4 linked regions of the Astyanax mexicanus genome follow. The protein of the gene in region 3 purifies or fractionates together with the protein of the main gene of each other region. This does not show direct contact. Links are inferred from orthologs where the notes say so. Each region holds a gene or a part of one and is shown on either strand. Other genes may lie near its edges.

Region 1 (7,749 bases), on a different chromosome or scaffold from region 3:
TTTTGGATTGGCAAAGTTTTTTAAACATAATCTGTGTTCATGCTCAAAAAACATAAATAGATGCACTGTTACAGCTCAGCAGACCAGGCTGCCTCATCTTCTTCAATACAGGCTTTTTGGAAAGGCAGACCAGCTCTGCTGTGTGGGAAAGAGAAGGAGGCCAGGCCTGGAATGTATGTGTGTGTGTGTGTGTGTTAAAGTGTGTGTGCACGTGTGTGTACATATGTATGTGTCAGGTGAGTATTTTTAGATTTGTGAACTACAGTGGTACTCTCTGTATCTCGCTCTCTATTTGTCCAAATGTTTGTGGACACCCCTTCCAACGCATGCAATCTGCTGCTTTAATTTGCTTTAATTTGCTTTAATTAAGCTTCCATGTCCAATGGAAGTTAATGAACACTATGGATATCTGTGATTTGTGTGTGGAGCCTCCTATATTAAATATGGACGTGATTTGAGTCCGTATACACTGTTCAAGCCAAATGCCAATGGTGACGATCATTACATAAAATAAAATCCACCCCTCGAGAAAATGAGCCAATCAGCTTGCTCGTTATGCCAAGAGTGAATGAGAGTCTGCATGCAAGTGGGGAAGCCCTGTCTGAAAAGCTGAAAAGTCTAATTCCTTTGGCAGTATTAAGGTAAATGCTACAAACTGTTCATAAGATTTTTTACAATCATGTAAAATATAAAATACAGTTTTCAGTATTTTGGTTACATTAACGACTTGCCATACATTTTCTTTTTTTATGACATCTATGTTGTCCATTATGCTTTTCTCAGCAGAGGGAGCCCATTAAAATGAACAGACCTTTTCACTGGATTTATATCTAATTTATTTAGGATTTATATATATATATATATATATATATATATATATATATATATATATATATATATATATATATATATATTTTAATAGTTGCTATTTTAACGAATTGCTATTTGAAATGATACATTGTATTTTGAATGCTACTTAGCAATTAATTCTGGAGTAATATTGTATATTGTTAGACAAAAGTAGCTACGTATGTTCACAAAACTTTGGCAATGGAACGTCCCGTCCATCTGACACCCACTATTGGACCTTTTCCACCAATGTGGATCAGGCTCTGTTCTGGAACCAAAGAATAGCAGGATCTTCAGTGCAAACCGAGAGCCACTGTGTGCAACTCCCTCTGCTGATTACGTATTCTCTGACGTATCCATTAAAACAGTTTTACTAAAACTGGTGCAAACGTGGGCTGGGTTACTGACAAGTTTCTTATAATCTTGAACAGAACCAGTTCCAGAACACAGAAATGAGATATTCTGAATATATATATCAGACCTCACTAGAACTTTGATAATGCATGTCGCCTTGCCATGAGCACATTGGCCAGTGTTTGTCTCAGCGGGCAACACCATGCCAAGGTCCATTGAGACCAATACAATGCCACAGAGGGTTAAATGCTGTCCCATGACTTTTGGCATGCTAGCATAACTGGTGTGTGAGCACACTGAAACTCATCCTGATGACATTAATATGAGTAGTGAGTACATCATGCTCCCTCTCTCTCTTTTCTCTCTCTCTCTCTCTCTCAGTGTACTGGTGGGTGAAGGCAGGGAGTGAGTGAGACCCCTCTGCCCACTCAGGACCACCAGTGTGGGTGTTTTATCAGAAAAAAACACAGAATAAATAAATAAATAATAAATATTCACATTAATACAGAGAAAAACACTGAAATAAAGCAGTAAACCTGCCTACATTCACTCTGATCCACTAACACACTTCACACACTGATAACTTTCCTCTGATTCACCCCCTATACACACACACACACACACACACACACACACACACACACACACACACACACACACACACACGCGCGCGCGCGCGCGCTGACCGCTGTCAGAGCGCTGTTTTACCTTATTAATCCCGTTCCCCATGTCCGCTCCGCTCCTCTGCGCTGCTCACACTGGGGCAGTTTGATTACTCCGCGTCTGATTACACTAGAGTTGCCCTTGCGCTGTCACCAAAACGCAACTGCGCATGCGTACAGCTCAGGCATTGTGGGATATGTAGTTTTGTTACCTTGTTAGGCTAAACGCATTTTTAAAGAGACGCACAAACTATATGACAGTTGTTATAAAACAAAATGGCTATTTATAAAAAAAATAATAAATGGTTTAAGATTATAGATTATCACACAGTCGAGCATAACCAGCCAGAAACAATCCTAATTCAAAATGCAGAGGTTTTAAGTAATAAAGTACAAATGCTTAAATACGGCTCTGGAAAAAATAAGAGACCACTTCAGTGTCTACAGACAACAATTCTCCCAAATTCCAAATAAAAATATTGTAATTTAGACCATTTATTTGCAGAAAATGAGAAATGTCTGAAAAAACAAAAAAAAAAAGATGCACAGTTTTTAGACCTCAAATATAATAATGCAAAAAAAACAAAAACAAGTTCATATCCATAAAGTTTTTTTGTTGAATAACCCTGGTTTTTAATCACAGTTGTTGTTATTTTTTTCATGCATTTGGCATGTTCTCTTCCACCAGTCTTACACACTGCTTTTGGATAACTTTATGCTACTCCTGATGCAAAAATTCAATCAGTTCAGTTTGGTTTGATGGCTTGTCATCATCCATCTTCCTCTTGATTATATTCCAGAGGTTTTTCGATTTGGTAAAGTGCTCTTTTAGCCATAGTTTAGCACATAGCCAAACGTTTTTGGACACTGCTATATATTCTATATTCTGTATGAGACATAAGTATTAACACCCCACCATTTCAGCCAAAGGTTTTGGACTTTAGCATTTAACCAAACATTGTTGGACTAACAGCTAACCAAAAGTATTGCCTGTCCAACATTTAGCCAAAGGATTTTGGACTTTAGCATTTAGCCAAAGGATTTTGGACTTTAGCATTTAGCCAAAGGTTTTTGGACTTTAGCATTTAGCCAAAGGTTTTTGGACTTTAGCATTTAGCCAAAGGTTTTTTGGACTTTAGCATTTAGCCAAAGGTTTTTGGACTTTAGCATTTAGCCAAATGTTTTTGGACTTTAGCATTTAGCCAAAGGTTTTTGGACTTTAGCATTTAGCCAAATGTTTTTGGACTTTAGCATTTAGCCAAAGGTTTTTGGACTTTAGCATTTAGCCAAAGGTTTTTGGACTTTAGCATTTAGCCAAAGGTTTTTGGACTTTAGCATTTAGCCAAATGTTTTTGGACTTTAGCATTTAGCCAAAGGTTTTTGGACTTTAGCATTTAGCCAAAGGTTTTTGGACTTTAGCATTTAGCCAAAGGTTTTTTGGACTTTAGCATTTAGCCAAAGGTTTTTGGACTTTAGCATTTAGCCAAAGGTTTTTGGACTTTAGCATTTAGCCAAAGGTTTTTGGACTTTAGCATTTAGCCAAAGGTTTTTTGACTTTAGCATTTAGCCAAAGGTTTTTGGACTTTAGCATTTAGCCAAAGGTTTTTGGACTTTAGCATTTAGCCAAATGTTTTTGGACTTTAGCATTTAGCCAAAGGTTTTTGGACTTTAGCATTTAGCCAAAGGTTTTTGGACTTTAGCATTTAGCCAAAGGTTTTTTGGACTTTAGCATTTAGCCAAAGGTTTTTGGACTTTAGCATTTAGCCAAAGGTTTTTGGACTTTAGCATTTAGCCAAAGGTTTTTTGGACTTTAGCATTTAGCCAAAGGTTTTTTGGACTTTAGCATTTAGCCAAAGGTTTTTGGACTTTAGCATTTAGCCAAATGTTTTTGGACTTTAGCATTTAGCCAAAGGTTTTTGGACTTTAGCATTTAGCCAAAGGTTTTTGGACTTTAGCATTTAGCCAAAGGTTTTTAGACTTTAGCATTTAGCCAAAGGTTTTTAGACTTTAGCATTTAGCCAAAGGTTTTTAGACTTTAGCATTTAGCCAAAGATTTTTGGACTTTAGCATTTAGCCAAAGGATTTTGGACTTTAGAATTCAGCCAAATGTTTTTGGACTTTAGCATTTAGCCAAAGGTTTTTGGACTTTAGCATTTAGCCAAAGGTTTTTGGACTTTAGCATTTAGCCAAAGGATTTTAGACTTTAGCATTTAGCCAAAGATTTTTGGACTTTAGCATTTAGCCAAAGGATTTTGGACTTTAGAATTCAGCCAGAGGTTTTTGGACTTTAGCATTTAGCCAAAGGTTTTTGGACTTTAGCATTTAGCCGAAGGATTTTGGACTTTAGAATTCAGCCAAAGGTTTTTGGACTTTAGCATTTAGTCAAAGGTTTTTTGGACTTTAGCATTTAGCCAAATGTTTTTGACACTGCTCTATTAGCCAAAGTTTAGCTTACTGTTTTTGGACACTGCTTAATTAGCCAAAGTTTAGTCAAACGTTTTTGGACTTTAGCTTTTAACTAATGTTTTTGGAAACTAATATATCCGACAAAATTATTAGAATTCCACAATTTCAGCAAAATAATTTTTGGACTTTTTGGCATTTTTCCAAGCCAACTCAAAGTTTCCCTTTCTAGTTATTATTATTATTATTATTATTATTATTATTATTATTATTATTATTATTATTATTATTATTATTATTATTATTATTGTACTGTAGGTGTGTGAGTGTGTGAAGCACTAGTCTGGTCTCTGGTGGTGATTAGTTTGGTCTGAAGGGGGTTTTTCTTACTTTCAGTTCTGCAGTGTGTGTGTGTGTGAACCCGGAACACACACACACACACAGCTTCCTCAGGAACTCAGAGGAATGTAGATCAGGGTGAGTGAAACACACAGTCTGATTATTATTATTATTATTATTTTACACTTTATGCTGATTATATACCGAGATTTTACTACTGAACACCCGGCCGGAGGAGCAGCAGCAGGAGAACATGAGCTTCAGCTGGAGTTACTGAAGATCCACAGCTACATTCAGATCTTCAGCCCGGTAACTTACTGCTCTCTGTACACAGTAACACTGATTCATCTGTAGATTGTAGATACTGGGTGTGTTAGGAGATGTGTGGTGGAGGTTTGGCAGTGTCAGACGTGTTAGGACATTACTGGAAGTGTTTTAGAGTGGTACTGGGGCTGGTGCTGGTTGTGGTTGTGCTGTGTTAGTAAAACGTGTTTCTTAAGTTGTTTTGGTGTTGATTTTAGGTGTTTTGTGGAGGTTTGGTTGTGTCAAAAGTGTTAGGATATTACTATTAAGTTGGTTCAGAAGGTTGTGATGCTGGTTTTAGGTGTTGGGATGTGTGCTAGTTGGTGTTTTGGGAAGGTTTGGTTGTGTCAGAAGTGTTAGGATGTTACTAAAGTTGGTTTAGAAGGCATTTGGTTTGTGTTGGTTGGTGTTTTGTGAAGGTTTGGTTGTGTCAGAAGTGTTAGGATGTTACTAAAGTTGGTTTAGAAGGCATTTGGTTTGTGTTGGTTGGTGTTTTGTGAAGGTTTGGTTGTGTCAGAAGTGTTAGGATGTTACTAAAGTTGGTTTAGAAGGCATTTGGTTTGTGTTGGTTGGTGTTTTGTGAAGGGTTGGTTGTGTCAGAAGTGTTAGGATGTTAGTAAACGTAATTTAGAGGGTCTTAGTACTGTGGCTGGTTGTTAAGTGTGTGATGGTGAGGTTTGGTTGTGTCAAAAGTTTTAGGATATTACTAATTTTGGTTTAGCTGGTGTTGGTTCTAGGAGCAAGGTGTTAGCAAGTGTTTGATAGAGGTTTGGTGGAGGTTTTTTGTGTCAGTAGTAAAAGTTGCTTTGCTACATTGCAAGTTGGTTTAGAAGGTGTATGGTTTGTGTTGCTGGTGTTTGGTGGAGGTTTGGATGTGTCAAAAGTGTTAGTATATTACTATTAGGTTGGTTCAGAAGGTTGCGATGCTTGTTTTAGGTGTTGGGATGTGTGCTAGTTGGTGTTTTGGGAAGGTTTGGGTGTGTCAGAAGTGTTAGAATGTTAGTAAAGGTGATTTAGAGGGTCTTAGTATTAGTGCTGGTTGTTGGATGTGTTAGTTGGTGTTTTGTGGAGGTTTGTTCATGTCAGAAGTGTTAGGATATTCCTAAAGTAGGTTCAGAGGCTGTTGAGGTTGGTTTTAGGTGTCAGGATGTGTGTTAGTTGGTGTTTTGTGAAGGTTTGGTTGTGTTAGAATATTACTAAAGTTGCTTCAGAAGACGTTTGGTTAGTAGGTGTTTGGTGGAGGTTGGTTTCTGTCAGAAGTGTTAGGATATTACTAAATGTGGTGTAGCTGGTGTTGGTTCCAGGGGCAAGGTGTTAGCTGGTGTTTGATAGAGGTTTGGTGGAGTTTTTTGTCAGAAATAGTAAAAGTTGCTTTGCTACATTGCTAAAGTTGGTTTAGAAGGCGTTTGGTTTATACTGTTGGTATTTTGTGGAGGTTTGGCTGTGTCAGAAGTGTTAGGATATTAATAACGGTAATTTAGATGGTTTTGGTACTGGTGCTGGTTGATGGGTGTGTGTATGTTGGTGTTTTGTGAAGGTTTGGATGTGTCAAAAGTGTTAGGATATTACAATTAAGTTGGTTAAAGCGTTTGGTTTGTGTTAGTAGGTGTTTTGTGGAGGTTGGTTGTGTCAGAAGTGTTAGGATATTACTATTAAGTTGGTTCAGAAGGTTGTGATGCTGGTTTTAGGTGTTGGGATGTGTGCTAGTTGGTGTTTTGTGAAGGTTTGGTTGTGTCAGAAGTGTTAAGATGTTAATAAACGTAATTTAGAGGGTCTTAGTACAGGTGCTGGTTGTTGAGTGTGTGTTAGTAAGTGTTTTGTGGAGGTTTGGTTGTGTCAAAGGTGTTAGGATATTAATATTAAGTTGATTACGAAGGTGTTTGGTTTGTGTTAGTAGGTGTTTGGTGGAGGTTTGATTGTGTCAAGAAGTGTTCAGATATTGTTCATGTTTGTGTTTTGTGTTTTGAAGGTTTGTTCAGTGTCAGAAGTGTAAGGACATTCCTAAAGTTGGTTCAGATGGTTTTGGTGTTGAATTTAGGTGTTTGATAGAGGTTTTGGCAGTGTCAAAAGTTTTAGGACATTTCTAAAGTCGATTCAGTTCAAGTTTTGCTGTTGTGTTTAGGTGTTGGAGGATGTGTTAGTTGGTGTTAGGTGGAGTTGTTTGCAGTGTCAGAAGTCTTAGGACATAGCTAAAATTGGTTCAGTAGGTGTTACGTGTTGGTTTTAGGCATTAGGCTGTGGTAATAAGTGTTTGGTGGAAGTAAGGTCTTGTCAGAAATGTTAGGACATGTCTGAAGTTGGTTCCGAAGGTGTTTGTGTTGGTTAAAGAGTCCTTAGTTGTTGTGGCTTGTGTTAGTAGGTGTTTTGTGGAGGCTTGGTCGTGTGATACTGGTCCTGGTTGTTGGATATGTGTTAGTCGGTGTTTGGTGGAGTATTGATTGTGTCAGAAGTGTTAGTATATTACTAAAGTTGGTTTAGAAGGCGTTTGGTTTATACTGTTGGTGTTTTGTGGAGGTTTGTCTGTGTCAGAAGTGTTAGTATATTACTAAAGTTGGTTTAGAAGGCTTTTGGTGGAGATTTGTTTGTGTCGGAAGTGTTAGGACACTCCTAAAGTTGGTTTAGAGGGTCTTTGTGCTGTGTGTGTTAGCAGTGTAAATCACTTCCTCAGTGGTGTCAGGTTACACAACTCCTCAGGTGGGCTAGTGTTATAGATAGATACAGAATATGAACACTATAAAAAAAGAATATGTGCATTAGTTTAATATTTTGAACAGTTTCAGGACGATAATACATTTTTATCTTGTAATCTTATCTTAAACAGCCACAGCATGGCTACAGG
Region 2 (8,183 bases), on a different chromosome or scaffold from region 3:
CTGTAGAATCATTAATTTGTGTAGCTTAACACTGTAAGATAACATTACTGTACATTCAAATTTGGAGTGTATTATTAGTATCATGACGTTTTGGATCACTGACATTGACATTCTGTTACAAATCTGATAAAATTCTTTATTTTTTTAATATAATCAGTTAGGGGTGTACCATGTCATATCGTATGCAATAATAAAATTAAAATTTCATTTTGTTGCAGTAGAGTATTCTTGGTTTTTTTTTTAATTCAGTGTTTGTTATATTGCCAAGAGTATCGTGAAAAAATACCACAAAAATTGTGATATTATTTTAGGGCCATATTGCCCACTCCTACTCTATAGTAAATTAAAACTTTATTGTTTTATATTATACAGTCTCCTGACAGTAAAATAAGCCACAAATATCAATAAAATTCGAGTCATGCAAAAACAAAAAAAAAGAAGTAAATAACAATAATATTTATTAATACAAATACTGTGATATCCTGTGAAACCCTCAGAATTTTTAAATATACTCTGATATATATTTCTGGTCATACTGCCCAGCACTACATAATAGATGTTGTTCATGTGTTTGAATTATTGTCCAGCACTGTAATGAGCTATCCCTTGTGTTAGGATCAGATTTCTCCTTTGAGATGTGTCCCTCTGAAAGTCAGATATAACAAGAGCTCAGCATCCATAAACATCACTGTGAGCCCTGTGACACAAGACAGGATCACATTTAATCATCTGTAATATGCTTCAAATGATGTTTAGATATAGGATAATCTAAGAACATTACATAATACCAGGATTGTGCAGGGAAGCGCTTTCCAGGCCTCCAGCAACATGCAACCTCTCATGCTGGCCATTTTGCAGCTGTTGCCACGTTTTTTGTAGCACAGTGCTCACAAACAGGGTTGTACCTCAGGGATATTTCATCATCCGTGGATTTACAAGTGAAATAGAGGACTAAATATGAACTATGAGGGCTGTGATGGTCATTATGTAATGGTATTACGGTTGGGCTCTCCAGCTTGCATCGCCAGAAGCATGTGTGCTTTGAGACGACGGATTGCACGGCATTGCGTCTACAGGACTACACACACACACACACACACACACACACACAGACACAGACAAACACAGACATTTTCACACACACACAGCACAGCAAAACTGAGAGAGGAAGGACACTGTTGAACGTGGGAAAAAAACAACACAGGACATTTCACAATTTCTTAACTGCCTTTTTGCCCTTTTTTAGAGTCATCTGTTAGCTGGCTAAGCTGACACTCTGCCTATTTAACTAACTATCCATAATTATCATGATTTGCCAACCAGACTGTTAGTTATCTATCTATCTAACTAGCTTAGCTAACTAGCTGTTATAGCATTGACATTAAATAGCTAACTTAGATTAGCAAGCTAAAACAGCAAGGCTAGCAAAAAACACTATCAAAACGAGTGTATTTTACCTTAAAGTGTGTCTTATTTATCATATTTGCCTGGTTAAAAAATAAACAGTCAAGCCTTTTATTCTTATTCTAATTGTCCTTTCCACCTTAAATAGAGCAGCAGTTACCGTTTACCAGTTACCATTACTACAGTTACTGCTGTGCCATTTAAGGTGGAACGTGTAAAAATTCCTGTAAAAAGATAAACTACTGAAAAGATGATTCCAGCTGTTCTTTAGCTAGCTAACCTAGCTAGCTAATGCTGCATTAGCTAACTGTAAACCTAAACTACACTAAAACAGCAAACTTGGCACAAACCAATTAAACAGTGAACTATTTTTAAATGTTGCAGCTTATAAGACTAGATAAAGCTTGTTTGCTTAGCTATAAATGTGAAAATCAAGCGGTTTTAGATTAAAGTTAAGCTTCTTTAGAAATAGAATGTTCAGTTCCACCTTAAATTGTGCAGCTTTTAAACTACCTTTACTGTGTAAAAGGGAGGAAATCATAGGGAATTATACCACAGTCATTTCCAACTCTGCTATGTGATTGGCTGAGAGGCATTCTATGAGTGCCGTTATCAGCCGGTAATATAAGCACTGTGTAACTTAATGTGTAAGTTAATATTGGTACTGTTGTGCTGATCTACGGCCGCAGCACAGCAGTGCCAAAATTACATTATAGCACTTCCTCTTGTGTACTATTGCTTAATTCATCATCTCACACGATATGATAATATCACAATACTTTGCCCACGATAATGATGATATAACAATACTTGATATTCTACAAAACAACTCTCTTTAATACTTTATAGCATTTGTCTAGCTAATTAAAGAGGATTCAATACTTTCAAATAAGCAAATAACAGGAATTGTGTTTTTGTGTGTGTCAGGTTACACAGTAACCTAAATAGCTCAGCTTTCTGTTGTAAAATAAAATTAGAACGGTTCTGCGCCTGTTAAAATGTCTCTACTCTAAAATCTTTTCAAACTGTGTACAGCTTACAGAAAAATATAGATAACAAAAATTAAAACAAAAATACACTAATGCAAAAAAGTATCAAATATCCCTATCGCCAAATAATATAATATGATATATCGCCATATCGATATTTTGTCACACCCCTGTTACTACTAGCTACTGTTACTGCTGCGCCATTTAAGGTGGAACGGAAAAGATCAAATCGAGTAGCTAAAAGCCTGATGAAATTATGGGACGTGCGCAGGGGATTCCGTCCATTCTCTGCCCAGTAAATACGATTTATTTCGCTACAAATCGCCAGAAAACGCCGACTAACCGTGAAAGCCCTCGGACACACAGACCAGCAACCAACCAAATCCAAACCCAGCACCAAACCCAACACCGTTAACCGTCCGTTAGTTATCTATTTATCTATCTATTTACTCACCCGCTGCTGATGTTGTGTTGTTCTCCGCCTCGCGTCGAGCCCGCGTTTTGCCTCGTCAGTCCCCGTGTGCTGTTAAAATCTGGAGTCGTGCTGCTGAATCATCGCCCGCTACGGAGATCTGGACAGCGCGTCGTCGTGTGCTTCGCATCGCCACGGCAGAGGCATCGCTCACGGAGCTGCGGCGTGAACGGACGTTAGTCCGGCAGTACGGAGCATCACCTCGCTCCGGAGAGTCGTCACGCCCATCGCTACCTCGCGTTTCCCCTCGTTAAAAAAAAAGAAAAGAGAGGAAGAAGACGAAAGAAGAAGAAGAAAAAAAAAACAGTCCAGGGAAGGTTTTCGCCCTCGCCCACGTCGTTCTCTTTTCGCTCGCGGAGGAGAGACCACGACTCTTGCGTAAAGCCTCCCCCCCTCCCCCCCTCCCGCCTTCAGAGAAAGGGAGAGCGCGAGGACGGCAACGCCTACCTGCTGCTGCCCACGCCTGCTGATGCTGCTGGAGATACACTGATTATACACTATCCCCACCCGTGCTCGGGAGAGCCACGCCCCCCTCCCACAGGATTGGCCAGCAGTCAGTGCGAGTTTAATTCTAAATCAAGGGTGTTCCTTAATATCAATTCATATCAAATTAAATCAAATAAATATACAGTGGTGTATTTGCCTCCTTGCAGATTTCTTTTTGCATTTTCAGAATTCAGATTATCAAACAAACTATAACAAGACAACAATAGTAAATAAAAAAGCAGCTTTTAAAATGATGATTTAATTTATGTAAAAACTGTGATTAACTGCATTTTTGTTAAACTGAGATTAATTTCACTAGCCACAACCAGGTCTGATTACTGCCAGACCTGTAAAATCAAGAAACCTCCTAAAAAGAACCTCTCTGACAACACGAAGCAGCTAAAAGATCTAAAAAATAAAATAACACACTATACCTCGATATGAAAAAAAAGGAAAAATTGGAGCAAACAGAGCTATTGTTTTGTGAGAATTTACAGTCTGTGAGAATTTACATCTTCTCCCCCACCATAATCCTCAGCACATTGACATGATGGTACCCAAAAACATAAGCATCCACTCACTCCACTGTCAACTAACCTGAATGATCATGTGCAGCAAGAGGCAAGACAGCACCAGCATTTTAGTTCACCACAATTCCTTATGTCCATGAACCCCTGTATCTGCAGCCTTAGCCTTTATCTAAGAAAAATAATTAGCTAATTACCAAAAGCTAAACTTAACTATTAGATTTTTAGCCTAGTCCCCAACATTAAGAATTTTCCTTATTCTCAAATATCTTCAGGTAGGTTATTCCAGAGTTGGGGGCTTTTAAAGACAATAATGTGGTTCGTAATACCAAGTTACTTTGCAAGAACAAACTCACAAGAACACAATGACTGAGGACTGTGCTGTGTACTTACTATTGTGCAATACAATGAGCCCAGCTGACTACATCACACATAGCATCAGAGATGAGCAACAGAAATGATACAAATGGAAACTAAAAACAGTGTGCGCAATACACACCAGCAGAAAAGTGTTGCTAAATTTCCCTCTAGAGTGTAAAAAAGACAAAGAGCCATGTTGGCTTCTCTTCTCACGGGAAAAAAGTATTAAGTACCTTTTAGGCTGCACATTCTTGTGATGAATTCAGATCTTGTGTCCTATAGATCAAGGCATTCTGAGAATGTATCTATTGTTGGACTTCTGCCTTCCCAAAATAAAAGTGTGCTGCTATAGAAGTGCCACCTCTACTAGAGAATGTCCCGAAGGGTGCCCTTAGATGAAGTAGATACAATGGAACGTAGTGCTGGGTTCTGCTACAGGCAAGAAAACATATCCAAGAGCCCTAGTGGTGTCCTTAGGATGTTTGAGGGACAACCATGCAGCCTGAGGCCACCACTGGCCATACAAATGATCCGCTTTTCAGGTTAGTCACTGCTACCTAGTTAAGCTATGGCTGCCATAGGAGCGTATTTGAGTCTTGAGAAACAACATAATGAACAATCACTGTTTGTATCAAATAAACTAAGATTTTTAAACAAATGTAAATATGATAACTTAGGGCGTTTTCACACCAGCACTAGACTTTGGTCCAGTTAAAACCAACTCTGGTCCGTTTTTTAACTTTAGTGCGGTTCGATTGTGCAGGTGTGAAAAAAGTAATCACACTCCGAGACCTGCTAGAGGAAATTGTCTCAGTTCATTCCCAAATTAACTCTGAAGCGGTTCACTTATGGTGAGAACTTGATCCCGTCTCGATCCGACCCAACTATCAAATCAAGACTCCTTTCATTTGAGCTAAACTGCTGATAAGGCTTACTACAGCTATGAACAAGCACTGTCTCTGCTCCGTGCCGTGTACATGCACGTTCTGTGCTGTGGCCACTTCTGTCAGACTAGCAACTAGCAAGTTTATTATGTGTACAATTGTGCTGCGCGTCCTATTAAAAACACTGTTTGAAAGGGCAGCGTTTCAGCCTGTGTGAAATCAAACCAAACAGAGGGAGAAACCTCTCCAAGTAAACAAACTCATCAACTGATTCAGACCATAAAAAACAACTACATGCAGGGCTGAAAACACCCTTAACTACAATTGTTTGACCAGGGTCTGATCAGTGTATTCTGCCATTGCTTCAGTGCTGAATTTACAATGAATGTTAAAAGTTCACCACTAATGGATCTACAGTTTTTGGGGAGGAACAAAAAAATATCTGGGAACTTTAGTGCTCCATTTCCTGGACAGGAATTCAGTCTATAGCTGTAGCCTATATTTTCATTTCAATGGAAATTCTAAGACTAGGCTTAATCACTGTCTAAGAAACTGACCTTAAATATTCTTGGTAAATGCGTCCAGTATTTGTGTTTTGAAATTTAAACCTCAGACAGCAAAAGATGACGTTAGGCAAGAATGCCTTGCTCTACATGTGTGCCAACATGTGTATTGTAAGCAAACCACATGAGTGGATGTAAGCAAGTTTGCTCTATGAGAAAAAAAGAGTTTTCCTTGAGTTTCATAGTCAATCAAAAATTCTATTCAAGGTTCTTCATTTGAAAGAAAAAAAAATCCGAAAGTGACATTTGCAGATTCAACTGCAGTCAGTTTTCTTGATTCCAAAACTCACAAGCCACAAGACTCAAGCTCATTTCACACATTCACGTTAAACTGATATTTGCTGGTAACTGAAACAGGAAGGGGTTAAGTGTGACTGCAAGTGTTGGGTAATTTACCACAGCATGACTAAGATAAAACACGAAGTCATTTAAAAACTCCCAGTCTTGATGAATAACCATGACCATGAGACACCTATTTAGGATTTAAATAAGATTAAGATTTACTTGACCTACAGTACCACTGAAAAGTCTGGGCATATATTCTCATGCAATGCTTTTATTTTTTTTCCTACATTGTACATTAATACTGAAGGCATATGAAGAAAATGAAGGAACACATAAAGAAAAATGTAGTAACTTATAAACAAACCACCATTTAGGTGAATCTTATCTGGGGTGATGTTAAAGTGTGGTTTCTGAGGCTGGTAATTCTTTTCAACAGAGGTAAGTCTTGGTTTTCATTTCCTAGGGCAGTCCTGATGAGAGCCAGTTTCATCATAACATTTTTGATGGTCTTTGCAACTGCACTTGATGATATTTTCAAAGTGACTGACCTCTTAAAGTATTTTCTTTAATTAATTGAGTTGTTTTTGCCATAATATGGATTAGAATATTACTCAAATAGAGCTATTCACTGTATACCCACTCTACCTCTTCACAACTTTACAACTAATGCTCTCAAGCTCATTAAGAGGACAAGAAATTCAAGTAGTTAACTCCTAAGTTCAGCAGAGCTGTTAACCCTTGTGTGGTGTTCATATTTTTGTTACTCGTTTACTTTGTTACTTGTATTTAATTCAGCAAAATTAAGCAATTTTACATTAAAATGCTTTACACATGCTTGCTTCACCTAAATTGCAAGCAAAATAAACAGCTTACATGGTTAATATTTGCCCTTTACCTTTCTTATGTTACATTTCTTTTAAAAAGTGCTACTCTTTTTTTATTATTTTTTTAATAAAATGTAAAAGAAAATGAATTAAACTCAAGATATGAGTAGAAAATTTGTTTAGTTTCAAATTTACAAATGAAGCAATGTTTATTAGCCCTTGTCCAAACATACTGTATGTAATATAAATGGTTGGGGGGGTGTACAGTATGTGCTTATCGAAAATGTGTTTTGATATATGTTTTTCACAAAAAATGAGCCAATGCCAATGAGTTTGAGTTAGAAAAAATATTTTTTTTGTATCATTTGGTGAAAAATGGAAACGTCCCACAGACCCGAACATCACACAAGGGTTAACTGAAAGCTGAACATTCCAGGTGTGCAATACTGTCATTTAAGCAAGCAAGCACTTTGAATAATCTAAAATCTAAAGTTATGGTTCATGGTTTATATGGTTTGTTTAACGCATTTTTGTTTACTAAATAATTTCATATGTTTTTGAATATGTTTAACTGAGTTTATATATCAGGGTTCATATGCTACAACATTACACCATTTATGAGTATGATCAGTAATTGATTAACTTAGATCACATCAAAATGTTCTACAAGAGGGCATCAATCAGCATCTTGAAATAGGATATCAACCAATGACAATATTTATCCAAATATAATGGATTACACATATTAAGGTAGTACAAACTGATTATGTTTATTTCTTTATGTCTAAAGGTCTAATCATTACAGAGCTTCAAAGCATCGACTCAACCTGGAACTTTAATATTCATGAGGATAATTTCCTTTTGTTTGATTGTATATTGAAGCTACTGGATCTTAAAAACAACATTTAAACTTATATTTTCACAATTATGGGTCTTCATGTACCCAGACTGTGTTCATTATCCCAGACTACAATCAGGTCACTTTCCTGGAACTATCCATGGTGCTGAACTTCAACACCTCTTGTTATCCAGGGCGCAATAAAAAAAAAAAAAAACTCTTAGCATTAAGAGCATCTTAACATGTTCAGCGTGTTTTTTTGAAAATGGAGTCCAGGTTAGGCTTGTTAGCCCCTTAAACAGAGATTTTTCAGAGGCACACTTTAAACTGAGGGTTATGAGAATAACTGGTAAGACGGCAGAATGAGTAACATAAAAATAAAATAAAATAAAAGCTAATCAATGCTAATTTCAGCTCCCCATCACAGAGGAATTAAGTAATGGACAATAATAATTCATTTCTGCACCATCTCCCTTATACACATGAGTAAAAACCTGACTCACACAGGTAAAAAACACAGATGGACATTTGAACAGAGTTGTCTGCAGTAC
Region 3 (7,778 bases):
TATTTTTAGTAATTACAGTAACATATTTTGCAAAGCTAAACTGTATATTTTAGTTGCCATTAAATTATCTTAATTTTATTTCAGTGTTCTGTATCCTGACAAGATCACATTGTATATTTTACAGAATTTTAAGATTGGTTTATAACTTTTAGTCCTGTAAAATTACAGTAAAATATATTTAAAAATACTTTTTCTGGCAACTAAAATAACTTTGCTTTAAAATGTAAATTCCATTTTAACAGTGCAGTGATTGTATTTGTATTTACAGTAGTTGTGAGTTTTTCTTTTTATTTATTGTTATTATTATTATTATTAGGTTGTTTTTTTTTTGCTGTATTCTTTATGCAGTTTTGGCAGGGAAGTATTAGCAGGATGTTATAAGGTGATGAGTCTGCATTATATTATCTTTATAAATTATATCTAAACTGGTCATTTTGAATAGTGCATGAGGTGCTTATGTTTATATTATACTTATTGTAAATTCTAGTTCCTTTTACCACCACTATTAATAAACAAATTAAATAATGTGCGTCTCTCCTCAATTAATCAATTCACACCAAACTCACTTCAAATAACACTGTTGAATTATGGAGAAACTTGTTGAATTCCACAGTCAGGGCCTGCACAATGCACGGGGAGGACAGACACCCTTGTCTGAATATGAACAACTGCTGTTTGAGTTTTTTCCAGCAGTGGTGATTAATAGGGATCATATTCAGCTGTCACCAAATGATGGTTGAAATCCTGAGTTTATTTTTAGAACGCTGAAGTCATGTGTTCAGGTTACTCAGCAAATGCAATTTTGTTGATCATTTTCCCATCACCTCTGGTCACAGTGCACAAGGTCACACTGCTTCAAACCAAACACAGTACATAAACAAACACAGCAAACAGACCAAAGGGTAAACGGGTAGTCCAGTGTAGTCCAGTGTGTGAGGTTGGACACTAAGCTCTAATATTATACAGAGCTGTCAAATTTATTAACACACAAAAACTTCAAAAAGGCTGCATGCAGTCAACCAAAGCCTAGTTAGCTCTGCACACAAAATAAGCTGTAAAAGTATTCTGAAAGTTTACTGCAACATGGAATTAATTTTTTTGTTTTATTTTGTTTTTTTCTACCTTTGAGATGAGTTGCCGCACCAGAACTAATCATCCAGTGAGTGTCTGATTTCACTAATGCTCTCGCTTTCAGGATGAATGCAATCAAAATCTTGCAGCAATGTTCCAACATCTAGTACAAAACCTTCCCGAAAGAGCAGACACAAGTCCTGCAACAAAGAGGGGACAGACTCATTTTTAATACTAAGGCAGTGTATTGGCATAAACTTATTGATACAGGGGTTACAATCCATTATATTAAAATATATGACAATACTGTAAGTAATGTAATATATTGTGAATGCTAAAATCAATACTTATCACTTTACTGTATTTGGATGAGTCATTACAGATGCCTCATAGATGCTCAAATAATATTTAACGCAATGGGCCCTATTTTAGCGATCTATAGTGCAACGGTCAATTGTGGATCTGCACAACTGGATTTAGGGCGTGTTGGCAGTTCTTTGGTATCGTGTGGGCGAAAACAGCACCCCTTTGCTCAGCTCAAAACGCGCAGGTATTAATTTTCTTAATTAATCATGAGTGTGTTTTGGGCTTAACGTGAAATAAATCAATCAGTGTGTTAGTTGCCATTCATTCCCTTTAAGAGGCAGGTGTGCTTTGACTTTGGCACATTCGTATCTTAACAGGGCAGCACTTTGTGATTCTCAGCAGATGAGATTGACCTGCGCATTCACACTATGAAGGAACGGCAGCAGCTTATTTAAGAAAACAGAAATGTTTTTTTCATTCTTTATTTTGTTTATTATTAAAAAATGGATTTGCGCTCTGTGTGTGTGTGTGTGTGTGTGTATGTGTGTGTGCTGAATTAGCTGGGGTGTACGGCTGCTGGGCACATGCAGCATCATTTCAGTCAGTGGAGATCCTGTGTTTTCCACCGCCAAAATAGCAACACACCTCACTTCCAGACCACCACACCCATCAGTGTAGATTTATTCCTAAACTCCCACACTATTAACGGTGCGGGTGCAAGGCGTGAAAATAGACTGTTGATAGGGTGTAAAATAGCAATGAGCATCGAGACGCACTTTGCACAGGGTGTCCGACCCTACGTCTATTAAATGCAACTGAATGCTCTTTACTCTTTAACCTGAACTGTACTCTTAACATTTTATAGTTAGCTTTAGAGTAGATTTAATGTTTAGGTTAAGGTTTGAGTACAACACTCCTCTCTAGTGGGTGGGGTTTAAACACAACACTAAATGAACCATTGTCTGCCACCAATCTTTACATATAAACCAATAATTAAAAATGAATACTGTGTTTTTGATTTTTGATTTTGCAAAACAAAATATTGAAATACTTAATTATATTAATATTTCCTTTCATTCCTATTTAATTAACTTTTTTGGAAGAATCTGTCTATCTAGGGCATATTATGTCTGTCCAAAATTACTAATTGTATTACAATCTTGGATACACAGAGAACAATATTAATATCATATTGGATCACTCATTCGTGGGACATGAGCTTGTGAAAAGGCCTGTTTTTTATGTTGCGGACAAATCTTTGGACACAACGTTTCTTGTTAAATGTAACATTAAACAGACATTAAAGCTCTACAGGAACACATGCAGAGTCCCTGGAGGTGATAAAGAACAGTTGCTGAATAGTTGCTGCTTTTCCTTTATGCTGTAAAGCGCCAGCTCATCCCAAATCACCTCAAATCACCATCTCAGTTGGGTTTAGGTCAGGGGATTGTGAAGGCCAAACACTTTCTGTTTACTACATAATTTCATATATGCTACTTAACTGTTTTTGTGTGTTTAATATTAATCTACAGTGTAGAAAATAAATTTAACAAAAAAAGAAATGAGAAAAACATTGAATGAGAAGTTTTTATTTGAATATCATGCAGCCCTGATATACAAACATAATGGAGCTAGTTTGCCATCCTATCCTGTTTTAGAACCTACAGCTGCATTCAGGATAGCTCTCTATTACAGAAATAGTGCACTATATAGTGTCTGCCATTTTCTAAAGCTGTTCATAAATCTCAACAGTCTCATTTTATTCCCTAGATAGTTTACTATCAAACACTCATAATGTATCACAAACTGTAGTGTACAGATCATGCAAGCTAGAATTTCCAGCGTATACCTTAATGCCTTGGTGGTAATGTGTTGGTGTTGTGTCAGACGTCCTTAGAGCGGCAAGAATTAAGGGTGTTTTCACACCTGCCTTGTTCGTTCTGAACTTTCAGATTTTTGCTATGGTCTGAACCAAAGTAGCAGGTGTGAAAGTGGCCATGAATCATGGTGCATGAAACGAAGAACCAGAGGTAGGTCCAACCAAAAGTGCTCTCTGTCCGGATCTACTGAACCATGGTCTGGGTCTTCCATGGTCTGCAGTGAGAAAACACTTTTGTAAATGGTTCCAACTTTCAGACTAATTTGACTGTTTGTCATAAAACAGAAATAAAGGAATTTGAGGATAATCTTTTACACTCATTTTTCTGTGGGGTGCAACTGTACAAGGAGCAAACCAGACCAAATATATTCAATTTTAAAAAGATATGAAACTTGGTCAAGACTTTTAGGTGTGAAAACAAAAAAAAGAAATTTGTTGTTTGGTCGTTCCCTCGTCAGTTGGGTCATGATAAAATTAGCTGTTAGGTGTCAGATCATCGTGTTTGGGTAATATTTTGCTGATTGGATAATAAACTTAGCTGTTAGGTGTCAGATCTTTATGTTTGGATTAAACGTTGCTGATGATATCATAAACTTTGTTGTTAGTTGTTGGATCTTTATGTTTGGGTTAAATGTTGCTGATCAGATCATAAATATCCACAACCTCCTAGCTGTAAATTGGAGGAAGTTACCAGTCTGGTGTAGGTGTGTGAGCAGGACAGCAGAGTATAGGAAATGGGAATAGGCTCTATGTGTGACTCAAGATGTTAGGTGTAGCATTTATGTATTATGTTACCTAGATCAACATCACTTCATATCATTATTCACATCAACACTAGATGCTTTTATGTCAGTTCATATGGTTGTATATGTAGAGATCAGCTCCAGACCTAAAGAATTACAGCTCTGGAAAAAATTAAGAGACCAGTTTCTCTGATTTTGCTATTTATAGGTATATGTTTGAGTAAAATTAACATTGTTGTTTTATTCTATAAACTACAGACAACATTTCTCCCAAATTTATAATACAAATATTGTCATTTAAAGCATTCATTTGCAGAAAATGAGAAATGTCTTAATAACATAAAGATGCAGAGCTTAGACCTTATATAAAGTTCAGAAATCAATATTTGGTGGAATAACCCTGGTTTTTAATCACAGTTTTCATGCATCTTGGCATGTTCTCCTCCACCAGTCTTACACACTGCTTTTGGATAACTTTATGCCACTCCTGGTGCAACAATTCAAGCAATTCAAAACAAAATTCTTCCTCTTGATTATATTCCAGAGGTTTTCCATTTGGTGAATTAAAGGAACTCTTCACATTTAAGTGGTCTCTTATTTTTTTCCAGAGCTGTAGTTCTGAGAGCTGGGTGTTGGAGCAGGTTGAGGCTCCATACCGCGGGCTGACTGGAGAGGGCAGGATTCAGAGGAGCTCAACTTCCTGGAAGTACAGCAGTCAGTCAGTCTGTACTGCGCCGGAGGAAAAGAAAAATACACATAAAATAATAATAACAACACACGCGCTCCATGGAGGAGACACGCTAAAAGTTCTCCACCGCTTCTGTAATGGGCCGAAGGCCTTGGTCGCGTGAAACGGACACTTAAGGTGGTCTAAATCGCCCTGAAATGTTAAGAGGTTTGGAGGCGGTGGTGAGGAGCCTGGGCGCCGGTGTGGAGTGAGCGCTGCGCGGCCGAGAGCTGCTCCTCCCTCCCCTGTGCGGCCCGGCGGAGCGCGGCTTAGCTTAGCTTAGCTTAGCCTAGCCTAGCTGAACTAGCTTAGCAAGCGCTAGTTCAGCTGCGGATCGCAGTCTTGAGTTTTGTTGTTGCCAGTTTGAGCTCGTTTTTTGTGTTGTGTTGTTTTCTGAGCTAACCTTCAGACTCCGCTGAATTTAGGAGGAGAAGTTTAGCTAGATAACGCTATGTACTGCCGACCCTGTCCTTCAGACTCGGGTTTGTTTAAAAGCCGCCTGTCCCGCTTCTCTCGGGCCAGTGTTGCATTCAGATAGACGGGTTAGCGCTAGCTTAGCTTAGCTATCGTTTTGGGGCTGCTGGTCTGGGAGCTAGAAGTTTTTAAAGTGGTGAAATTCCTGTGAAGCTCGCGGTGTAATGCGGGGCTCGTTAGGAGAACCAGTCCCTCTGCTTGTGGTTGAATAGCAGAGGTCCTTCACTGTAACCGCTGAATGTGTTTAGGCTCCAGAATCGCCATTCTTTGTTCGGTTTTGTGTTTTTAATGGTCGCTGTTAGCCGGTTAGCTGGCTAGCAATGTCTGTCCCCTCCGCCGAGATGCTTGAGACACCACCTGGATATCCGTTTGAGGAGATAGATTATGCTGATATCGAAGTGGAAGAGGTAACTAAACCTGTCCCTGTATCTCTCTTTAGCTTTATTAAAGATAATTAGTGAGTGGGGTTTCATATTCATGTGCAGAATTCAGTAAAACACGCCGGTTTGTCACAGTTGTTCAGCTGTTTCTAGCACACACCTCAGCAGTACACCTGGCTAAGGTTAGGCTAGGTTAGCTTACGTTATCTAGCTACTCTACCTAAAAACCGGTTTTATTTTAATTAGATATTTTTCACAGAAAAATCTTAAGCAAGACTTTTCACTAGATAAACTTTCAGTGCAGTTTTTACTTTAACGTTACAGTACACATGCTGATTTATACCTTATTTAAACATAGCACGCAAATTTGCTAAGGGCATTTGTGTTTGGTAGATTATTTCTTTAACAGTGATTCTTGTCAATTAATTTCCCTTTTAAATGATTTCACATGTGTACCTAATGAACATGCTTTTAATGGATGAGCAGATTAAACCTGAGTTTTTGGTTTGTGCCCATGAAAACTTTGCCAAATCTTCTTAGCTTATGCTGTTGCTATGGAAATTTGTTTTGAGCTTCTAGTACCCCCACATGATTGGCACCTGATTGGCAGCACCTGTGAGTAGGCATGCAATGATTAGTCAATATAATCGAGAAGTTGAATCAGAATAGTCGTTGTCGACTAATCATCAATTTGTCCACTACACAAAGTACTGGGGACAGAAGCACAACGGGAGAGGGGTCAAAATCAACTCAACCTGCATCTCCAAAAGTGCACAAACACAACAGTTAACCTATTTCCACATGTAAAGGACAATGTTCTGGACATTTGAAGGGCATTAAAATGCCACATCCAGTTGTTTACCCACAGCAAAGAATTGGCATGCCATGTTTGAATGAGCTGGATAGTCTACATAGGGCAGCTTCAAGCTGTTGTTCCTAGTTGTTCCAAAACCTAGTTGTGGAACCCTTGTAAAAGTATCTTCAAATTGAAGGCCAGGTTACATATAACGGTGAATGTTAGAGGCTGTGAAGGGGGCATCACATGAAGGTAAATTTGCTCTTAAGCAGAGAGCATTTCAAGAAAACATTATGGGCACAAGCCACATACTAAGCTCTGCTGCGCATCTCACAATTACAAATGTTGCTTTATTTACAGTAAGAATTAACTGGGTTTTCTTTGTATAAGATCTATTGCCAATAAACATTGTTACAACAAAGAAATAATATACCAAACACACAGGTTTTCAGCGTCTATGTACAGATGTTAAACCTCACATTGCTAGCTAAGATTGCCCAGTAAACCTACATGGATCCTTCATACGAAGCAAATGTCTCATTTTCAGGTGGTGGGCAGAGGAGCGTTTGGTGTCGTCTGCAAGGCCAAATGGAAGGGCAAAGATGTGGCTATCAAGACCATAGAGAGTGAATCTGAAAGAACTGCCTTTATAGTGGAGGTACAGTGAAATCAAGTTTTACTTAATTCATCACACAAACAGTCCTACACCCAGGGGCGATTCCAGGATCAAATCAACCCAGTCCTTTCATTTTTACTTTCTCTTTAAACAGTTTTTTAGAAGATAAGAAGATAAAATTGTGTTCATTCTCTCACTCGAATTTAAACAATGGCTGATTGGTAGGCTGCAGCTTAACCTAATAAATTAAAAGTGCCAGACAGTGACAGCATAAAGAGTGATGCTTGATGGTGAGTGTGAGCAGGCTTAGCACACAGGAGGACAGAGAAAAAGTGAACTATACTTTTTGTGTAGTGAGTAGAGACTGCTGCATTTTTATTCTTAAAATACAGTTTTAACAATTTTGAACCTTTTACTTTCATTTTAGAACTAGTTTGAACTAGTTACACCCATGCTCTTTGTAGGTTAGGCTTAATCATTAGAGATTGATGATCAGTTAGTCCAACTTGTGTAGAAGGCTAGACATCTGCCAAGCACTGTGCCCAGTTGTCCACCTACACAGCAGGTTGATGGTTTTCTCAATTTGACTTAAGAAGGGCTTGATTCTTAGCCAATAGTGTGACTCAGCTGCAGCACAACTCTACTCTGTGCAGGTAGACAACAGGAACTGACTCTGATTCACAGTGTAACTCTTTCTTTTTCATCTCCAGCTTCGTCAGTTGTCTCGAGTAAATCATCCCAACATTGTGAAGCTGTATGGCTCCTGTGACAATCCTGTAAGTGCCT
Region 4 (7,682 bases), on a different chromosome or scaffold from region 3:
CATACATGTTCAGAATGTTCTTAATTACAAGGTTACGAAGGACTTAGCTTTACATGTTTTTGGGTTTTGGGAACCCGACCGGAGTGGCCTTCATTGATTACAATGTTTGCAATCAGAAGGAATGCACTGGGCAAATGGCACAAAAGACTATAGATATTAGTTTGTCCAGTAAAGTTGTAAAAATAGAGCCCACAATAGTTAAAGTAGTTGCGGTAATATTTTCGTTACACTTCAATTATTTTTTGCTCATCCATTCCACCACCTGGGGACAAAACTCCATATTGTCTTCCATATATATATGGAATAAAAAAGGATGTGTGATACTTGAGTCTCAATTGACCGTACAACCGGTGTTTTGTCTATCTTTTACCTATATTGCCTGTTGAAAAAATACTCATCTGTCCTGAGGCCTCACTTGCTTAAATTTTTTTTCTTCCTCACAGTAATAAATCTAAGATAAACTGTGTTGTTGATATTTTTTTGATAATCTCTAATGTCACATCTTATCATTGCATACCATCTCAACAATGTGCCATAATCAGGGCCTGCAGGATCCCAGAGCTCACAACACCTTTTAAAGAGTACTAATTCCTCTCAGCTCTGCACTGTTATTCATGATGTAACACGGCGTATTTGTTTAATTAGCAAGCGAATGCTGTTATCTTTTTGGCCCATGTACTTTGTTGAAGAATGGCACTCCAGGGCAAAATATTCCCTTAAGCTTACACATTTGTGTTTGCCCTACTTATCGCTAACTCCCATTAATGCTTAATAGCCAGGGATTCTTTTTTTAGAATATCACACTCCAAATCTCACAGTATAAATTAATTGCTTGTTTCGGACTTTCGGCGCAAATTTAGGCAAGACGCGGCACAGGCCTTTGCCAGTATGGCTCAAAGTTATGCCTAGGCCCTTTTTTCCAAGATAAGAATTTATACAAAGCAGATTTGTTGTGAATATGGCAGTAAATAATTGGGAATATTTTATCTTGGTGTTGTTTATTGAAGATTTTTACATTTTGGCTCTTCTTGTTATCCTTCTGCTGCCAGTCATTTTTTCAATGCCAGTATTCATTTCCATACAACTGAAACATGATAATGAATATATGATAACTTGATAACTGATGGTTAATATATTTAGCCTCTATTTTCTGCACTGTGCATCTATTTAAGCTGATTTGTGGAGGAAGTGTAAATGAATGCCACACAAGTACTTAGCTCATGTAAACAGTTTGTGCATGCTTGAATGAGGGTTTCATTTAGGTTCATTACTGACTGATAAGTCCAACGTTTGTCTAGACATGCAGCCAGCTGATATGACACTGCAGGGTCTGCACTCAGAGCCCCTCCCCGCCTGCAGTCAGATCCAACTGGGGAAGGCACACCGCAATGGCCGACGTCCAGATGGCAGCCAAGTGATTGGCGATGGGGGTTGTTTTGAACCCAGTTACGATCACCAAAAATAGGGACGGCAGATAAAAGTGCCGACAGTCCACGGCCTGCACCGGCTGATTACAACCAACCAGGCAATGCCGCTCGTGTTTGTGTTGCTTTGCTAAGGGTGCACAGTCCATGGACAGGCAAATATAGGCTTTAGCAATATGTAAAGGACTCTGCTTCCTGCTGATGACCCCAGTGCTCCCCCGGACCCCTGCAGCCCGAGTCGATAGCCTATGTTTTTTAAGCACAAGGGTTTTTAGGTAGCTAGAAGAAGTGGATGGGGCCACTGCTCAGTATCCAAAGCCTGTATCCAAGGCCTAGGAGGCCCAGGCGGACATCAAACAATAGGCAGTCGTCAATCTCTGTCACCGTAGATGGGTGAACGGGAGTTAGAGGTTGCAGGAGGTCAGGCTCTTTGTCCTGTCCTGATGAATATATGCATAAGGCACTGCAGCCATGACTTTAGGAGATGTGCTGGTCGATATATTGTCGAGCAGTATATTCTGTGATACTAATTCCGTTTTAAAAACATTTTTAGCTAAATATATTATTGATAGATAATGAGAATCTATATTTATATAATGTAATGGCTGTAAAATAGCAACATCTATCTGGTTGTCTTTCAATGTGTGTAATTTACGTTAAGTATAATATATTATACTACATTTTTACATGACCATTATGCAACATTATTTTAGCTCTTACTTAAATTTAAACAGTCTGCTTTTGTAACTGTGCCTCTAAAACTGAGAGTTTTGAGTTCTGAGTGTCTGCCCTGTATTGCATCTCATTCAGAAAGCAATGTGGGCTGAACTACCCCCTATAACTTGAGTCTGAATAGGCGGGGCTAAGCTGCCATATGTGAATTAATTAAAGGGAAGACTATACTGTGCAAATGTATTGTTTTTGTGACATCACAAAACAATCAATTCAAAGTTACTTTTACAGCTTAGTTTTTATATATAGACAGCACTGGAACTACATAAAATTACTAAGCAGTAATAAGCCTAAGCAATTATTTTTCTCTGTCATTAAAGTACTGTTTTTATATAGGTCATATTAAACCAAATGTGCTTAATCAATCACATTGTTTTTTCTTTGTAGGTCTATCTTTAAGTCTACCGATAGATATGAATATTTTCAGACATTCTAGGTCACTGAAATGCCTGGCAGTATTGAATAAAGGCTACTAGACTCTATTTTTTTCCTGATTACAGGGAAGAAATATCCAGGTCTCATGATTTACTATTATTGCCCATCTACCATCAGACATAATGTTTCATATTTTCATCTAAAAAGCAGCTGAGCCATCCTCTTCCTTGTCTTGCAGTTTTTACAATCCTCAGTCTGATTTTAACCCTGTCTGTGGCTTCACTGGTTGTATCAAACCCTATTTACTTCAGATCAATGACTGTAAAAAGATATAAGCTATATACAGTCTATGCTTCATATGATCACATTCAATTCTATTTAATTAATCATTTAACTTTTACTCACTGTCAAACATAACTTTAAAAAGTATAAAAGCCTTCGATGCACACTGTGATGACGGTCGATGAGACTTTTTTGAAATGTCTTGACATATATAGTCACTATTTCTGTTTCACTGAGTCTAATAAGACTCTCCTCTCTCCTCACTCTTATGCAACTTATGCAAGAGGTTACCCCTGAGTAAATGATGTGTTGTTGATTTTCTAAGTGAAAATAAGTTATACTATTATTTCACAAAATATACACTATACCTACACTGACATGCCAAAAGTCATGGGATATCAGTATGCAAACTGAGCATGTTACCTTGGGGGCTTGGGAACACTCACACCTGTATAAGTTGTGAGGTGTTATCTTGTAAGTGTATTTGAACACTTGTCACTACTCTTCTGGGACAGTGATGTGACTTATCGAAGTTTGAGTTTCCAGCAGAAGATTTGTTTAATTATTTACACTAAATAAGCAAAGGTGCCATTTTTTTCAGGAGTACCTTAAACCTTTGTTTTAGACTGTAAAGACAGTCGGAGAGTATACAAAATATGTACCTATTTCTTGCAAGTAAATACCTTAATATTTTGAGAGTGTATTAAAATTACATTTTTACTTATCTATTAGCAAATCCTGAAATCAGATTTTTTTTTTTAATTCCAGAATTTGCAAAAAGTGTACTAAAATATTGACCTGTTTCTAATAGGAAAAAATTGTTATTTCAATCATTAAAGTATAGGGTTAATGATGACAGGATTGTGGGTTTGATACCCTGGTTTGACACACTGCCATTGTTGGATGTCTGAGTAAGGCCAATGGCTGCCCACTGCTCCGGGCATGTGTGTGTGTGTGTGTGTTCACTATATGGGTGGGTTAGAGGCAGAGGCCAAATTCCATCTGTGTCCAACACAAATGTGAATATGGTGCTTCTTAAATAAATAAAAAAATAAAATAATTGTTAAAAAAATCTGAATTAGTTTAATAATTTAGATTCTTCTAAGTACCACATTTATCTTTGAGGACAGCTCTGCACACTCTTGGTATTTTAATCTCAGTGTCTTCATGAGGTAGAGGCACCTGGAATAGTTTTCTCAGCGTCTTGAAGGAAGGAGTTCCTGGAGGTGCTGAACAAAAGCTGCTGCTTTTCCTTCAAGCTGTGAAGCTCCAGCTCATCCCAAACCACCTCAAATCACCATCTCAGTTGATCAGGTTTAGATCAGAGGATTGTGGAGGACAAACGCTTTTTATTTACTGTTTACTACATAATTCCATATGTGTCCCTTTTAATAGTTATTTATGTCTTTAATATTAATGAAATATGTAGAAAATAAATGAAATAAAGAAATAGAGAAAAACACTGAATGAGAAGGTGTGTCCAGGCTTTTGATTGGTGCTGAATATCACCAGAGTATTGTGTATACATGACTTCAACACTCCTCCATACCTGTGTGTATCACCTGTTAAAGTGTTAAAGCAGTTGTAGCGGGTGTATAGAGAGTGTAGATCAGGGGGAGTAGGAGGAGAAATGCTGTGAATCTGTCTGTCTTTCTGTCTGTCTGTCGGTCTACTGTGAGTTTTTTTTTTTCCTGGGTCTGGGCGGGGAGTGGCGGCTCCAGCCTATCACAGGCTTCTCTCTCTCTCTCCCCCCTTGCTCTCTCTCTCTACATACACACCGTACACACACACACACACACACGCCTAGCTAGCTAGCTGGAGAGAAGTTGTATGTGTATGTGTGTGTGTGTGTGAGTGTGCGCGTGTGTGTGACAAGCAGGCAGTGTAGAATAAGTCTGATCCGAGGATGGATGCAATACCGCGCTGTCTGCTGTTTCTGGTCCTGCTGTTCGGGACGCGGATCGGCGGGTCTGAAGGTAAGGCGCCGCCGGGCTGTGGTTCGCCCCAACTCCGTTATTTCAGCCTCTGCTCCGTGAAGTTTTGCTGTCTGAGAGTCCGCTGTTTTTCCTCTTTGTTTCAAGGAGCTACGGCCCCAAAGACTCTTTTCAAAGATGGCGCAGGTCAGAGAGAGAGCTGAGCTTTCGGAGGAATGTTTTCTTTCTTTCTTTGTGTTTTCTTTTTGAGAAGAGAGAGAAAAAACCGAGGGGAAGAGATAACTAAACACAGGACAGATAACCTAACGTAGCTCGTTAGCTAAATAAAAAGAGCGAAGGCGACCTGGCTTGTGTTGTTGTGAAGAATCAACAGCGCTTCGCTAACTACAACAATAACAAACACAGTCCTCTAGCAGTCTAGCTTAGTTAACTAACAGCTTACTAGCGTATGTTAGTTAACTATTTAGGTTACGTAGTTCGTTAAGGAGTTTGGTCTGAATTTAATGCTCCCCACGATACTAGCTAACTACAAAAGTTGGCAACTCTTCATAGTAGAGGTTTATAAGTTAACGTTAAATGGATTGATGAACTGGCTCTGAACACAGCAATTACATGCTTTAAGAATAGAATACAAACAAGATAACCTAGCTGTACATATTGGCAACACTTTACAATAAGTGTAGTTAATTAACCTAATTAACTAACTAGCTAACCTTGCTAGTTAACTAGTAAAGTAACCTAATGTGACCTATTGTTGATTACTAAATTGTAATGTTTGACAATGTTGTAGATAGTAGCTAACAATGAATCGAGGCGTTATTTAAACATTCTGTCATGATAAATAATGTCTTTACTAGTGGCAGTTAATTAATAATCTAGTTAACGTTAGCTAAGTACTGTAAATTAATGTGTTAATAAGCTAATTAACGCTAGCTAGCTACAGTTATAACAATGTAGGTTAGTTAGCTAACCTACATCAATTAACAGTACTAACTAGTTAAGTAACCTAATGACTCAAAGTCTCAGTGTCTAATTTATTGTTGTTGGTACTAAATTTTAATGGTTGAGAACGTTGTAGTTAAACATTCTGCCATGACAAATAATGTCTTAATGTCCTAGTTTCAGTTAATAATTATCTAACTAGTTAGCTAACGTTAATAAACGTTAATAATCTAACGTTAATAAGCTACTCAATGGTAGCTAGCTAACGCTAATTAACCTAGTTACATTTATGACAATGTAGTTAGCTAGTAAGATTTCTAAAACAAACATTAGCTAACGTTACATGTGAAAACAAAACGTTGATTAAACCTATAATCTATGTACACTAAATAAACTAGCTAAATAAATCATATCTGACATTGATATAGTCTGATATATCAACGTTGTTTGAACGCTTTGAAAACGTTGATTCAACATAAGCCAGCTTGGTTAACTAAGTTAAATAGGGTTAAGTTTTTGTAAGTTAAGTAACCTAAAGTCTCAATGTCTAATTATTGTTGATTTATTAAATTGTAATGCCTGAGAATGGTGTATATAGCCTACAATGCATTAAGACATTAGTTAAACATTCTATCATGATACATAATGTCTTAACTAGTGTCAATTAAGAATTATCTAGTTAAGCTAGCTAAGTACTGCAAATTAATGTGCACACTTATTGTAGTTAAATTGTTAATGAGTTACCTAGGTTACACCTAGCTACATTTATAACAGGTTAATGTAGTTAGCTAAATAAAACAAGTTAAGCTTTCTAAAACAAACAATAACTAAGCTACATATGAAACCATAACGTTGAATCAATGTTGAACCAACCTAAAATCTATGTACACTCAATAAAATGGACAAATAGTATCTAAATCAACCCTGGCATTTACATCAACATTGTTTCAACGCATTAGAGATTGAAATATGTTGAAAACGTTGATTCAACATAAGCCAGCTAAATAACTAACCTACTTTTGCTCTGCTGGAAGAAATGTTGTGATTCCCAAGCCCCAGTGGTAACGTTAGGTTAGCTAGGTTTAGAGAGAGAGAGAGAAATACACCATTAAACGTGATTAAATGTGCTGACACATTATTACACAGCTGTAAACCTGTGCTGAAATGTTCTTGTATCCATCTAAACGCTTAAACTGAACTTTATTTAACGGTAAATGTGTTTAGATTGTGTTTTGACCACTATCACACATACACACACACACACACACACACTCGGCACAGAGAGCAGCAGCAGCCCGTCTCTCAGTAACAACTAGCTACACAGCCTCACTACTACAGCAGCTAACCTGGGTTGGCTAGCTCGCTGGCTAACGTTAACGTTAAACACACAGATAAACCGATACTGATGGTGTTCAGCCTGAACCGTGAGCTTTTCCAGCCAGCTAGAATAGAGACTGTCGTTGGCTAGACGTCTTGAGTGAGATGTAACATTAGCGTAACGTTTTTTTAGATGATAGCAAATTGATTAAGCCGTCTACTAGCTACGCTAGCTAACTAGCTAGCCAACCTACCGGGCTAGCCACAGTTCTTCTGTTCAGTCAGCCTAACTGCCTCTGTTAATGTTGTGTTTATGTCAAAAATAAGTTTATTTCAGCTACCTGTTATTTGTTTAGCCTTCATTTAGGAGCTTAAGAGTAACTTAAGAGTGCAGAACTGTTTAAGGACTGAAACTGCCCAAATAACGTTACATCCGCTCCCCCCCGTCCGTTTACCTGGATAAGCTGGATAAATAAATAACTTTATTAACTAATCACTTCATCAAACACGAACTGTAGTAAACGAATGTACAGAAATGACAAGTAAATGATAAGTTTCTTTGATTTTACCAAATTGAAAAACTCTGAACTATAATCAAGATGATGATGAATAATCACAAGCAATCAAACAAAGCTGAACTGTTAATTTTTTTTTGCACCGGAGTGGCATAAAGTTA

What was found.
Region 1: the proteins of map3k7 (region 3) and ripk1l purify together in Homo sapiens (affinity purification with western blotting; 5 studies listed by BioGRID, with this or other methods). This does not show direct contact. The link is inferred for Astyanax mexicanus from reciprocal best matches to the Homo sapiens genes MAP3K7 and RIPK1.
Region 2: the proteins of map3k7 (region 3) and peli3 purify together in Homo sapiens (affinity purification with western blotting; 3 studies listed by BioGRID and IntAct, with this or other methods). This does not show direct contact. The link is inferred for Astyanax mexicanus from reciprocal best matches to the Homo sapiens genes MAP3K7 and PELI3.
Region 4: the proteins of map3k7 (region 3) and tgfbr1b purify together in Homo sapiens (affinity purification with western blotting; 3 studies listed by BioGRID). This does not show direct contact. The link is inferred for Astyanax mexicanus from reciprocal best matches to the Homo sapiens genes MAP3K7 and TGFBR1.

The regions. Positions count from the first base shown.
Region 1 is NC_064415.1:8,725,878-8,733,626, reverse strand, and holds the start of ripk1l (receptor-interacting serine/threonine-protein kinase 1), read left to right. Parts: upstream 1-4,677; 5' UTR 4,678-4,916; intron 4,917-5,436; exon of another isoform or gene 5,437-6,406; intron 6,407-6,694; exon of another isoform or gene 6,695-7,604; intron 7,605-7,731; 5' UTR 7,732-7,738; coding exon 7,739-7,749. Other genes in the region: dusp22b (dual specificity protein phosphatase 22-B), read right to left, coding at 1,912-1,932. UniProt on the Homo sapiens protein: Serine-threonine kinase which is a key regulator of TNF-mediated apoptosis, necroptosis and inflammatory pathways.
Region 2 is NC_064415.1:31,438,262-31,446,444, forward strand, and holds the start of peli3 (E3 ubiquitin-protein ligase pellino homolog 1), read right to left. Parts: upstream 3,264-8,183; 5' UTR 2,848-3,263; intron 1-2,847. UniProt on the Homo sapiens protein: E3 ubiquitin ligase catalyzing the covalent attachment of ubiquitin moieties onto substrate proteins. Involved in the TLR and IL-1 signaling pathways via interaction with the complex containing IRAK kinases and TRAF6.
Region 3 is NC_064408.1:47,758,502-47,766,279, reverse strand, and holds the start of map3k7 (mitogen-activated protein kinase kinase kinase 7), read left to right. Parts: upstream 1-4,687; 5' UTR 4,688-5,520; coding exon 5,521-5,607; intron 5,608-6,923; coding exon 6,924-7,034; intron 7,035-7,702; coding exon 7,703-7,768; intron 7,769-7,778. UniProt on the Homo sapiens protein: Serine/threonine kinase which acts as an essential component of the MAP kinase signal transduction pathway. Plays an important role in the cascades of cellular responses evoked by changes in the environment.
Region 4 is NC_064413.1:43,271,356-43,279,037, forward strand, and holds the start of tgfbr1b (TGF-beta receptor type-1b), read left to right. Parts: upstream 1-4,590; 5' UTR 4,591-4,719; coding exon 4,720-4,789; intron 4,790-7,682. UniProt on the Homo sapiens protein: Transmembrane serine/threonine kinase forming with the TGF-beta type II serine/threonine kinase receptor, TGFBR2, the non-promiscuous receptor for the TGF-beta cytokines TGFB1, TGFB2 and TGFB3.